Macaca fascicularis: one gene and its partner. The protein of the gene in region 2 purifies or fractionates together with the protein of the main gene of each other region. This does not show direct contact. Links are inferred from orthologs where the notes say so. Each region holds a gene or a part of one and is shown on either strand. Other genes may lie near its edges.

Region 1 (7,092 bases), on a different chromosome or scaffold from region 2:
AAAATGTAATATTGTTTTGTTCCCTCCAAAGTACAGATTTGGGGAAAGGGACTGCAGCTAAGTGTCCACTCCCCAAAGTCTTCCTATTCCTTCCTAACTCCATGACAGCTCCTCAATACAGCTTTCCTCCTCAGAAGCAACTGGAACAATGCAGCTAACATTATTTGGCCCCAGCGGCATTTAGGCATTTACTGTGTATTTTGGCTGACATCTTTAGAAGCCTAAGGCCTAAATAGTTAACTGAGGAACATCTAAAACAGAGGTGTCCAATCCTTTGGCTTCCCTGGGCCACAGTGGAAGAATTGTGTTGGGCCACACATAAAGTACACTAACATTAACAGTAACTAATGAGCTTAAAAAAACTTGCAAAAGAAATGTTTTAAGAAAGTTTAGGGATTTGTGTTAGGTGGCATTCAAAGCTGTCCTGGGCTGCAGGTTGGACAAGACTAACCAACCTGTTCCTCGGATAGGTACACCAACTAAGGCCCCAACTGGTTAAGATTAGGGCAATGTCAATGTGTTAGGGGTTAAACGAATAGTCCAAGATTCCTCTCAATTCTTTTTTTTTTTTTTTTTTTTTTTTTGAGACAGAGTCTCACGCTGTTGCCCAGGCTGGAGTGCAGTGGCGCGATCTTGGCTCACTGCAAGCTCCGCCTCCCGGGTTCCCGCCATTCTCCTGCCTCAGCCTCCTGAGTAGCTGGGACTACAAGCGCCCGCCACCGCGCCCGGCTAATTTTTTGTATTTTTAGTAGAGACGGGGTTTCACTGTGGTCTCGATCTCCTGACCTTGTGATCCGCCCGCCTCGGCCTCCCAAAGTGCTGGGATTACAGGCTTGAGCCACCGCGCCCGGCCTCCTCTCAATTCTTAAATGCCCCCTCATTTTACCTTGAAGCACATCTTTTGTCTTTATTTATTTATTTGTTTAGATACTAGGTCTCACTATGTTGCCCAGACTGGTTTCGAACTCCTGAGCTCAAATGATCCTCTTGCTTTGGCCTCCCAAAATGCAAGGATTATAGGTGTGAGTCACCATGCATAGCATCTTTTGTCTTATTAAAAATTTAGAATGTAAGGCAAACACTGATCATACTAGGCTACCAAATTGCTATTGAAGGCTTTTTTCTTTTTGAGACGGAGTCTTGCCCTGTCGCACAGGCTGGAATGCAGTGGCGGGATCTCGGCTCCCTGCAACCTCCGCCTCCAGGGTTCAAATGATTCTCCTGCCTCAGCCTCCCCAGTAGCTGGGATTACAGGCGGATGCCAGCACACCCGGCTAATTTTTCTATCTTTAGTAGAGACAGGGTTTCACCATGTTGGTCAGGCTGGTCTTGAACTCCTGACCTTGTGATCCGCCCACTTCGGCCTCCCAAAGTGTTGGGATTACAGGCGTGAGCCACAGCGCCCGGCGTATTGAAGACAATTTTTAATACTCGAAACTATCACATAAAATAAACATCATAGCATTGGTCATATAAAATAAGCAACTTTATATTAGTCATTTCCCTTTAAGAAACAGATTAGAACCAAAGCAGTTAATTATCTTGGACATGACATAAATTCTACCTAATAGGAGACTTTTAATACTCCAGAATTACTCCTTTTCCCTCCACTGCACACTATAGAAAAAATAGTTCCACCGCAGCCCCCATTTACCTTTCCTTTAGAACCCGATCCAACAGCGACTACTGTTGCTTGCAATACTTTTCCTTGAGATTTTTCTGGAAGCATAATGCCTCCTTTGGTTACAGTTTCAGCAGCACTCCTTTCAACCAATACTCGGTCAAAGAGTGGAAGAAACTTTCTAAACGCTTGTCCTGCCTGTAGGAAGAGAAATGTTTTGAAACAAAAACTAAATGTAATCATATTATCAACAGGCAACGCCACCGTGTTGTATACATCTCAACACGTTTTGGCTTCGAAAGTTAACACCAAACCTCAGCTTATTCGTTAAGGAAACGCATTTGAATGTACTAACCAATATTCCAAGTTTAATTCCCGATTCCTTACATCTGTTAAGGGTCGTTGTCGCTCCTCTGGTGAGCAACCAGACCAGCTTTAAGGTCAACCTTAGTTTATCCAAGGTCAAATGTTTTCCTTCTTCAGGGTTTTCCAGAAATTTTCAAGAAACGCTGGGTCAATCTCCCTGCCTGGCACCATGCTTTTTACCCAAGATATTACACATCCACAAAGGCCCTGCAGAGCAGGTGGGACGCTGCGCTTGCATCCGGGTTCCCGCCACCTGCCTTACACACCCGCAGCACACGCGCGTGCAAAGAGCCCCCGGAGAAGAAAAGGGTCGGGCAGGCCTTGCCGCTCCAAGGTGCCGGCGGGCGCTGGTCACTGAGTGGCCACCAATCCCTCCCGCCTAGCCCAACAAAAGAGGGGCGTCAGTGATCCCCGTACGCCTCAGACAGGCCCGGGCCTGCGGGCTTCGGTGCCACGCGGGACTCACCATGACTCCCTCCGCCTCAGACTCGTACTCTGCTCTAGTGTAGCGCCGCAAGGAGAGACTCGCGGCAAGGAGAGACTCGCGGCGCAGCCCTGGCGACACGTGAAAAAACCGCCCAGCGCGCAGGCGCGCTCGCCCCAACCCCCGCCGCTAGCCCCCTCGCCCCTCCCCGCGAGAAAGGGCGGTCGCCCCGACGCGCGCCGCGATTCGCCCCAAGGGCCCTGCGCAGGCCGCTGACGCGAAGACTCGGAGGCGGAAGAAAAGAGGAGCTGTTTCTAGGCTTTTCTAGGCGCCCAGCCGAGGTGAAAGAACTACCCCTTCGTCCCCTCCCGGAAATGACGCGATTTTACCCTTGACCCGTAGGGAGCGCGGCACTTTCCGGAAAGTTCTGGAACTGAGCGCGGCCCGGGAACTAGCCTAAGCCGGCGGGAGAGGGCTGAGCGCGCTAGCACACCCTGCGCGGGTAGGGAGGGGCGGGGCTCGCGCGCAGGGTGTGCAGATTGCAGGGGCCCGGCTGACGGGAAGGGGGTGGGAGCTGCCTGCACACGTGGTGCCCCGGGGCGGGGGGAGAGGCGGAGGGAGGGGACACGGGCTCATTGCCGTGTGCGCCCTGCACTCTGTCCCTCACTCGCCGCCGACGACTTGTCTCGCCGCGCGCACGCCCCGCCGCCGCCCCGCAGGTATGCGGCCTTCCCACGCCGCCTTCCCCGGCGCCTGCGACCCCCAAGTGGGCCTTCCTCCTCTGAGGTCCTGCTGGAGGATGCGGGCGACGACAACCTGGAGTTCTGCACCGCACCGCAGGCCCAGGCCCACGGGTCCAGGCCTCCCGGGTCCAGGCCTCCCGGGTCCATGCGGGTTCCATCACGTGCGACGCGGATCCTGGACCTCGGCTGGGCGCAGGAGGGACAACTCACGGGGATTGAATTTGGGGGATTGTAGCCACTTAGGCCCGCTGGTGCAACCCGCGCCTGGTCGACTTCGGGGAACCGGGGAGGGTGGTGTACGCGAGGGAACCGCTTTTTTCCCCCGCAGCTAGCTGGGATACCGCGCCTTCACTCTTGACCTTGCTGGGGGCGTTCGGAAAGACGTGGGCCCGCGCCGAGTGGGCCGGGCCGCCGCCCCCAGCATCGCGGCCTTGCTGGCTGCTCTGATACAGTAGCCTTGGGTGGATCCATGGAGATACTTTGCTGAGCTGCTTTTTGCACCGCCAGGAATACTTTCAGCTTCCCTGGTCACTGGGATTTGTAACTTGCCTCTCTCCGGCTGACTTGGTTTCTCAGGGGCCACAGTTGGAGTGGGTCTGCCCACAAGGCCGTTTTCGCGGTGAAAGATTAACTCGTTTTTGGCGGCAGGGATAGGTGGCCGTGGGGAAGGAGCTGCATGTGCTTTGTGCTAGTGCTATAGGTCAGGCGCCGGGGCGGCTCTTTAGCTTGCGGTAGTGGCTGATGTTCCGAAGCTGCGGCGCCTTCCGTCATTCAGGTGTAGTGGCTGGCAGAGGTCAGCCAGGCTCACCATCTCACGTTGCTTGCTCTGTTGCACAGGTGCGCATGTTTGTGCTGCAGCGCATCATAGGTGGTAGTACTGATTATCTATTTGCTTCCATCCCCAGAAATGCTTCGGTTACCCACAGTCTTTCGCCAGATGAGACCGGTGTCCAGAGTACTGGCTCCTCATCTCACTCGGGCTTATGCCAAAGATGTAAAATTTGGTGCGGATGCCCGAGCCTTAATGCTTCAAGGTGTGGACCTTTTAGCCGATGCTGTGGCCGTTACAATGGGGCCAAAGGTATCAGTATTTTTATTTTATTATAATTATGGTAGTATTAATAGCATTTTGCTCACAAATAGTCGCACTGAACTGTTGAACAGTACTTTCGTATCCATTTTTGAGAACTCAGTTTACATGTAAGAATTCTGAAGTATTGGTTAACTTTTTTTTTCTTAGACATGATCTTAAAGCTTAAACTGCTTCAGCCAGATTTTCGAAACTAGTTTGTTCAATGTGTGATGTAATCGGGTAGTAACATAGCTCAAGATGGATTCTTAAACTCGAGGTAGAATTTTGCTTGCCTAAGTTAAAATTTGGATCCTTTCTGAGTAGTTCATGCCAAGTGTAGAGAGAAGAGTTTAACTTATCTTCCATAATCCCTCAGGTATGTGCTTGTAGGTGCTAAATTTTTTTTTTTTTTTTGGTTTATTGTAAAATGTACACAACATAAAATTACCATTAAGTGTGCACTTTGGGGACATGGGGACATTAATTACATTTATGTTGTGCAGTCACCACCACCATCCATCTCCAAAACTTTTTATATGGGAAAATTGTAATTTTGTACTCATTATACAGTAGCTTCCCATTCTCTCCTCCACCTCAAGATGCTAGTTTTACCTATCGGTTTTCTGCTGTTCTCTTGTTCCGAAGCATATTTAAAATAAGTCTCATTTAATAGGGGTAATATTTTGAGGGGGGCTTTGAAGGTGGTGTGCGGTCAAGTGGTGCTTCATTTCAGTTTGAAGACAGTTCAGATATCAAGTGATCCAAACAACTGCATAAAACACAACATTTGCACACCTCACGAATAGAAAGTAGCAGCTTTAGTTCAAATCCAAAGGATGGTCAATAACTGTGCCATGGTTGAAGTTGTATGTTGAGTGAACTTGGAAGAGCACACTACTTGCCTTGATGGTTAATATTTTAAACGAATTTTAAAACAAGTCACATTGCTTTAAAAGATAACAGGCACTAACTAAAACTTAGGTATAAGTGATAGGAAGATTGTTTTATTCTTTGTCTTGTGTTCTTGTTCATTTTATAAGATGACAAATTTTAGTCCCTAGTATTTTAATCTTCTAAATTACTTAGTTCAAAATTATGCTCTTGGCAGAGAAACAGGTCATTCTGTCTGTAGACAAAGAATGTCGATAAACTTGCCCTTGAGATTCATGCTGCAAGACTGATAAAAATGACACAACTTATGTGGAGACTTTGAAGTAGTTGCTTTATTATGAAGACTGCTCATTTTTTAAAATATAAGTAATCCTTAGGGTATGTGTGATCCTGTTACATTTTTTTTCTTGTAGGGAAGAACAGTGATTATTGAGCAGAGCTGGGGAAGTCCCAAAGTAACAAAAGATGGTGTGACTGTTGCAAAGTCAATTGACTTAAAGGATAAATATAAAAACATTGGAGCTAAACTTGTTCAAGATGTTGCCAATAACACAAATGAAGAGGCTGGGGATGGCACTACCACTGCTACTGTACTGGCACGCTCTATAGCCAAGGAAGGCTTCGAGAAGATTAGCAAAGGTGCTAATCCCGTGGAAATCAGGAGAGGTAGGAATGTCTATTGTCACTACAGTGTTCTAAACTTCAGTGTGCTTTAAGGCATTGATTCCTTGGAGCTAAGGAGAGTGTCTGTTACTTTAGGAAATTGATCCTTCTCTCATTCCTCTTGGCCTGGAGAAATCTTAAACTGGGTTTTCCTTTAGCAAGTAGTGATTGAATGCCTGGCTGTATGGTGGGTAGGTACTGTTAGGTAATTTTGATGTTTTACTTAGTTGGTTTCTTTTGTTTTTAGAGACAGGGTCTTGCTCTGTAGCCTAGGCTGGACTGCACTGGAACTCCTGGACTCAAGCAATCCTCCTGCTTCAGCCTCCAAGTAGCTGGGACTACTACAGGCACTCACCACCATTCCTGGCTAATTTTTAGTTTAGTTTTGTAGAAAGTAAGATTGAATACACTGGATCATTCAGAATGTCAGAAAGTAATGTTTTTTGTTTTTTGTTTTTTGTTTTTTGAGACGGAGTCTCACTCTGTAGCCCAGGCTGGAGTGCAGTGGCCGGATCTCAGCTCACTGCAAGCTCCGCCTCCCAGGTTCACGCCATTCTCCGGCCTCAGCCTCCAGAGTAGCTGGGACTACAGGCGCCCGCCACCTCGCCCGGCTAGTTTTTTGTATTTCTTTAGTAGAGACGGGGTTTCACGGTGTTAGCCAGGATGGTCTCGATCTCCTGACCTCGTGATCCGCCCGTCTCGGCCTCCCAAAGTGCTGGGATTACAGGCTTGAGCCACCGCGCCCGGCAGAAAGTAATGTTTTCCTCAGTTTATTTTTTTTTATTTTTTTGAGACAGTCTCGCTCTGTCCCCCAGGCTGGAGTACTGTGGCGTGATCTACGCTTACTGCAAGCTCCGCCTCCCAGGTTCACGCCTCCCAAGTGAACCTCCTGCCTCAGCCTCCCGAGTAGCTGGGACTACAGGTGCCCACCACCATGCCCAGCTAATTTTCTTTATTTTTTAGTAGAGATGAGGTTTCACCGTGTTAGCCAGGATGGTCTCGATCTCCTGACCTCGTGATCTGCCTGCCTCGGCCTCCCAAAGTGCTGGGATTACAGGCATGAGCCACCGCGCCCGGCCCATTAGTTTATTTTTTCTTAATAGCACACACCGTGTTATTGGTTTGTGTTTTGTTAGTGCTTGTAACTGGAGTGCAACTTAATTAACAGATTTGCTCCTCAGCATGAACTTCATGGCAGTGTAGACTTAAATTCTAGTCCCATCTTTGTCATTTATTAGCTGTGTGCTAAGACTTGGTTTTCCTATCAGCAGAATTGCTGTGTATATCCAGCGTATGTTAGGGTTGAAACCAG
Region 2 (6,635 bases):
TATTGTAGACAGTTTGGAAAATACCATATGCTTTAAAAGATAAGCACAATATTATAGTCTAATATGGTAGGTTTTCACACTTTAAAAAATTGAAAACCAAAGAAAAACATATTTAACATAGCATCTAGTACAAAGAAAAGAGATAAGCAAGAGATAAATGTCTTTTTTTTTTGATGGAGTTTCGCTCTTGTTGCCCAGGCTGGAGTGCAATGGCACAATCTCAGCTCACTGCAACCTCCACCTCCCGGGTTCAAGTGATTCTCCTGCCTCAGCCTCCCGAGTAGTTGGGATTACAGGCATGCACCACCAGGCCCGGCTAATTTTGTATGTTTAGTAGAGATGGGGTTTCTCCATGTTGGTCAGGCTGGTCTCGAACTCCCGACCTCAGGTGATCTGCCCACCTTGGCCTCCAAAAGTGCTGGGATTACAGGTGTGAGCCATTACACCCGGCCGAGATAAATGTCTTTTAAATTATCTCCATCAAAGACATAACCTTTATAACATTTTGATGTATATATTAACCAATTTTTAAATACATAATACATTTATATAAATACGTATTATTGTGATCATGCTGCACTTACATCTTTATGTTCTCCTTATACTGTAAACATTTTGAAATATTTTACTAACAACATTTGTAATGACCATTCTTTCTTTCTCTTTTTCTGCCTCTGATAGAATGGTCTACAGAGTAATTCATGAACTAAAGATACTTTAGAGGCTGGGCACAGTGGCTCATGCCAGTAATCCCAGCACTTTGGGAGGCCAAGGCGTGTGGATCATGAGGTCAGGAGTTAGAGACCAGCCTGACCAACATGGTGAAACCCCATTTCTACTAAAAAAAAAAAATACAAAAATTAGCTGGACGTGGTGGCATGCGCCTAGAATCCCAGCTACTCAAGAGGCTGAGGCAGGAGAATTGCTTGAACCCAGGAGGCAGAGGTTGTAGTGTGCCGAGATTGCGCCTCTGCACTCCAGCCTAGGCAACAGAGCGAGACTCCATCTCAAAACAACAACAACAACAACAACAACAAAAGATACATTAATACTATAGCCCACATGTGGAACATTAAGAAAATAATTGTTTTTATGTTTATGCTTTATACCTGTTGTTAGCCCTACCTCTTATTTCATGGCTTCACATTGTAACATCCCTTTACCGTATTTTTTGAGGACTGTTTTGGCAGAATGTGTGAAATCTTAGGCAGAAGTATTAGCCAAAAGTCGGAAGAAAATCAGATTTTTATTTCAAGATTCTGTTAATGTTACCCACTCCCTTCTGTTACTCAATCTTATAGTTACAGTTCTCTCTTTCTCTTTTTAGAAAAGAAAAAAAGAGGTCCCTCAGGATTTGCAGATGAAACAGTATTGCTCTTTAGAGATATCCATCTGGCTGTTAGATTCCTTTTTCCAGTTTTCAGAGGTGGATGAGGGCATTAGAATCTTGAGTATTGACCATTTCCTTATGTATGCCTTTGACAATAAATAAAATAGATGCATGACAATTATTTATAAGTTGATTGATTTTTCTTGTCATTTAAATCATCTTCAATAATAGAGTTGGTAGAGCTATCCCATTTTTGAAATTATTTTCTTTTGTCGATAACTTTTTGTTACCAATATGTACACTCGCATTGTTGACTCTCCATATAATACCTTAAAAACATTTTTTCTTGTGGTAAGATATACATAACATAAAATTTACTATGGTAGTTTTTTGTTTGTTTGTTTTGTTTTTTAAGACGGAGTCTTGCTCTGTTGCCAGGATGGAGTGCAGTAGAGCAATCTCTTACTGCAGCCTCCACCTCCCGGGCTCAAGTAATTCCCCTGCCTCAGCCTCCTGAGTAGCTGGGACTACAGGCACATGCCACCACGCCAGGCCTATTTTTTGTATTTTAGTAGAGACGGGGTTTCACCATGTTGGCCAGGATGGTCTTGATCTCCTGACCTCGTGATGCGCCCGGCCCATGGTAGTTATTTTTAAGTGTTCACTTCAGTGACCTTAAGTGTGTTCATAATGTTGTGCAACCATCACCATGTTGTCTAACCATTAGCACCATCTGTTTTGAGAACTTTTTTTATCATCCCAAACTAGAATTCTATACCTGTTAAATAGTCCCCAGTAATCCTCCCTCCCCCAGTCCCTGGTAATCTCTAGTCTACTTTTCATCTTTTTGAATTTGCCTGTTTTAGGTTCCTCATATAACTGGAATTATGTGATATTTGTCCTTTGTGTCTGACTTATTTCATTTAGCATAATGTTTTTAAGGTTCATCTGTGTTGTAGCATGTAAATACAGGTTGAAGCATCCGTTACCCAAAATGCTTGTGACCAGAAGTGGTTTGGATTTCAGATTTTGTTTTTTTTGATTTTGGAATATTTGTAGATACTTAACTGGTTCAGCATCCCTAATCCAAAAATCCAAAATCAGATGGAGCCCAGTGGCTCATGCTTGTAATCCCACCATTTTGGGTGGCCAAGGCAGGAGGTTCGCTTGAGCCCATGAGTTCAACACCAGCCTGAGCAACGTAAGACCCTATCTCTCCAAAAAAAAAAAAGATGAAGGAAAAAAAAAATCCAAAATCAAATGCTCCAGTGAGTATTTCTTTTTAGCATCATGTCAGGCTCTAAAAGTTACAGATTTTGGAGCATTTTGGATTTCAGATTTTTGGATTAACCTGCATTAATGCTCAACCTATATGAAATTTTATTCCTTTTTATGGCTGAATAATGTTCCACTGTATGTATATACTACATTTTGTTTATCCATTCATCCGTTAACAGACACATAAGTTATTTCTACATTTTGTGTATTATAAATAGTGCTGCTGTGAACATCGGTGTACAGGTATCTGTTTGAGTCCCTGTTTTTGGTTCTGTTGATTATATATTTAGGAATGGAATTACTGATCATATGGTAATTCTGTGTTTGACTTTTTGAGGAACTACCACTGTTTTCCACAATGGCATCACCATTTTACATTCCCACCAGCAATGCACAAAGATTTCAGTGTCTGTATCCTTGCTAACACTTATTTTCCGTTTTTTGAGTGTTTTTGTTTTGTTTTTTAATAATAGCCAATTCTAATGGGTATGTGGTAGCATCTCATGGTTTTGATTTTATTTTCCTGACGATTGATGATGTTGAGCAGCTTTTTAGGTGCTTAGTGGCCATTTGTCTGTCATCTTTGGAGCATTGTCTTTGGCAAGTCCTTTGCCCGTTTTTAAATTGGATTTTTTGTTGTTGTTGAGTTGTATATAACACCTTTTTTAAAGTAAAAGGTGCACTGTAATAATCCAGACTGTGTTTCTCCCTTCTCAGGATTCCTACAGGAAGCAAGTAGTAATTGATGGAGAAACCTGTCTCTTGGATATTCTCGACACAGCAGGTCAAGAGGAGTACAGTGCAATGAGGGACCAGTACATGAGGACTGGGGAGGGCTTTCTTTGTGTATTTGCCATAAATAATACTAAATCATTTGAAGATATTCACCATTATAGGTGGGTTTAAATTGAATATAATAAGTTGACATTAAGGAGTAATTATAGTTTTTATTTATTGAGTCTTTGCTAATGCCATGCGTATAATATCTAATAAAAATATTAAAATAATTTTTGTGAGGTAGGTAATATCCCTGCTTTATAAATGAAGTTCTTGGGGGATTAGAGCAGTGGAGTAGCTTACTCCAGACTGCATCAGTAGTGGTGTGCTGGGATTCAAACCTAGGCCTGTTTGACTCCACAACCTTCTGTACTCTTGACTCTTCTACACTGAAAAAGCAAGACTTTAAACTTTTTAGATGCATCATTAAAAAGGAAAACCATAAAAAAGAATATGAAAAGGTGATTTGAGATGGTGTTACTTTAACATTCTTAAAAGCAATCGTGTGTATAGTGTAGAATTGCTTGGATTGGATAAAGAGTGGCATTATACATTTTAAAAAATAAAAGTTTTGAAAGATTGAAGAATTCGGGCATTACAGTTTTCTTAAATCTGACAAAGCTGCATAAAACTATTAAAATAATCATTATTGTACTATTTTATATTCTGCTTCTTTGAGGGTTTAGTTTTCCTAAAACTACATATTAGGCAAATAAATTACTCACTGGCTATGTCATGTAATAATGAGTTAGCCTAGTTATAAGAAGTTTAACATTTTATTTAAGAACATTGTTATAGCATGTTTACTGTGTAGTCTAGTAATAGAGCAGAAGACATTCGGGTGGGTGGTAGTGGTAGTATTTTTATAGAGGAGTTACCAAATTTCACCTCTATTATCCAAGCTTACCCAGCTAATAGTGGAGGAACTGGGAATTTGAGCCAATTCTGACTCTGTTGTCTGCTCTGCTCCTTCTTTTGTGCTGCATCTTTGAAAGTCACCTAAAATTGTGAGGGAATATAATTTCACCCCAAATTTAGAGTTTATGCACTTGTTATATTGAAAATGATTAACATGTAGAAGGGCTTTTAATGGAATAAGTGGTGTAGTAACTTCAATGTTTTCTACCTAGAAATCAAAATCTACTTGTCAACTTTGTTTTTTGAGACAGTAATATGAAAATTATGTTAATGCTTTAATTCAGGTTTTTGTAAAAATATTTTTTATCTTTACGCATTTAACATATGTTTCTAAAATTATAGTCTGTTATATAGCACTTTGGGTCTAGAATTTTTCAGTAGTTTCTGTTTTACTATTATGATCTACCTGCATATTAACCTATTAGGTTATAGTTTTACTATACTTCTAGGTATTTGATCTTGTGAGAGAGAGACAAGGTTTCTCTTTAAAAAGGTAAAGAAAAAAATAATTAGTAAAGGAAGGAAGGAAAATTTGGTATAGTGGAAACCAGGAATTACATTGTTTTCTTTCACCCAAATTTTATGACAAAAGTTATGGACAGGTTTTGAAAGATACTTGTGTTACTAATGCCTCTGCTATAACTTTTTTTTCTTTCCCAGAGAACAAATTAAAAGAGTTAAGGACTCTGAAGATGTACCTATGGTCCTAGTAGGAAATAAATGTGATTTGCCTTCTAGAACAGTAGACACAAAACAGGCTCAGGACTTAGCAAGAAGTTACGGAATTCCTTTTATTGAAACATCAGCAAAGACAAGACAGGTAAGTAACACTGAAATAAATACAGATCTATTTTCTGCACAATCCTAACTGTTATGTCGTTTAATATATCAGTTTTTCTCTCAATTATGCTATACTAGGAAATAAAACAATATGTATTTAGTAAATGTTTTTGTCTCTTGAGAGGGCATTGCTTCTTACAGTGTCCTTGATACTGCTTTTGGCTTTGGTTTCTTTCTACATTGAAAATTTCTCTTCAATTCTGAGCACATGTTAACATTTAGAATTCAAGAGATGTGGGGATTTTTTTCCCCACTGTTGTGTGTTTGTATATATACAAACACACACAAAGAACAAGGCAACACATTTTTGAATTTTCTATTTCAGTAGTACTTTTAAACCATTATGTCGTGTTTCTAGGTTAAATGTTGTTGCATTTGAAGAATTTTATTTTGGCAGAATTTTTTTGAGGATATGTTTATTTTTGGAGAAAGGTCTCATTAAAGAAAGAAAATACCCAGAAAGCAAATAGAAATTCTGTTATTCATTTAATGAATTTTTCTGACATTAAATGAATAAAAAAATTCATTTAATGAATTTTTTTGAGGATATGTTTATTTTTGGAGAAAGGTCTCATTAAAGAAAGAAAATACCCAGAAAGCAAATAGAAATTCTGTTATTCATTTAATGAAATTTTCCAAAAATTGTTGTCAGAGGGAATTTTGTTTCAAAAATCATCTTTGTTTTAAAAATGACTTTTTCTTTAGGTAAAATAAAATAATTTCAGTTAGTGTTATTTAACCTGTTTGTATGAAGAGTTTAACATACAGGAAATGAATACATAAAGATAGGAAGGAATTAATTGTTATATATAGTCATATGTCTCTTAATGACAGGGATACTTTCTAAGAAATACATTGTTAGGTGATTTTTGTCATTGTGCAAACATCATAGAGTATACTTACACAAACCTTGGTGGTATAACCTACTATACACCTGGGATATATAGTACAGTCTCTTGCCCCAGGGATACAAATCTGTACGGTGTGTAACTGTGGTAATGACTATAGGCAATTGTTAACACAATGGTAAATTTTGTGTGTATAAATATACACTTGGGCTACCCTAAGTTTATTTTTTTTTTAAATTTCTTGTTCAGTAATAAATTAACCTTACTTTCCTGTAACTTTTAAAATAAACTTTAAAATTTTTCCTAACATTTTGACTTTTGTAATACAGCTTAAAACACACATTATACAGCTATACAAAATTTTTCTTTCTTTGTATCCTTATTCTGTAATAAGTTTTTTTCCATATTTAACATTTTTTATTTTTTTTTACTCATTAAACTTTTTGTTAAAAACTAAGACATGCATGCACATTAGCCTAGGCCTACACAGGGTCAGGACCATCAATATCATTGTCTTCACTTCCACATCTTGTCCCACTGGAAGGTCTTCAGGGGCAGTAACACACATGGAGCTGTCATCTCCTATAATAACTTTTGGAATACCTCCTGAAGGACCTATCCAAGGCTGTTTATAGTTAACTTTT

The links.
Region 1: the proteins of KRAS (region 2) and HSPD1 purify together in Homo sapiens (affinity purification with mass spectrometry; 3 studies listed by BioGRID and IntAct, with this or other methods). This does not show direct contact. The link is inferred for Macaca fascicularis from reciprocal best matches to the Homo sapiens genes KRAS and HSPD1.

The regions. Positions count from the first base shown.
Region 1 is NC_088386.1:93,114,607-93,121,698, reverse strand, and holds the start of HSPD1 (60 kDa heat shock protein, mitochondrial), read left to right. Parts: upstream 1-2,599; 5' UTR 2,600-2,752; intron 2,753-2,823; exon of another isoform or gene 2,824-2,913; intron 2,914-3,071; exon of another isoform or gene 3,072-3,130; intron 3,131-4,059; 5' UTR 4,060-4,061; coding exon 4,062-4,235; intron 4,236-5,530; coding exon 5,531-5,783; intron 5,784-7,092. Other genes in the region: HSPE1 (10 kDa heat shock protein, mitochondrial), read right to left, coding at 1,655-1,819, 2,454-2,456. UniProt on the Homo sapiens protein: Chaperonin implicated in mitochondrial protein import and macromolecular assembly. Together with Hsp10, facilitates the correct folding of imported proteins.
Region 2 is NC_088385.1:27,946,584-27,953,218, reverse strand, and holds part of KRAS (GTPase KRas), read left to right. Parts: intron 1-3,325; coding exon 3,326-3,504; intron 3,505-4,963; coding exon 4,964-5,123; intron 5,124-6,635. UniProt on the Homo sapiens protein: Ras proteins bind GDP/GTP and possess intrinsic GTPase activity. Plays an important role in the regulation of cell proliferation.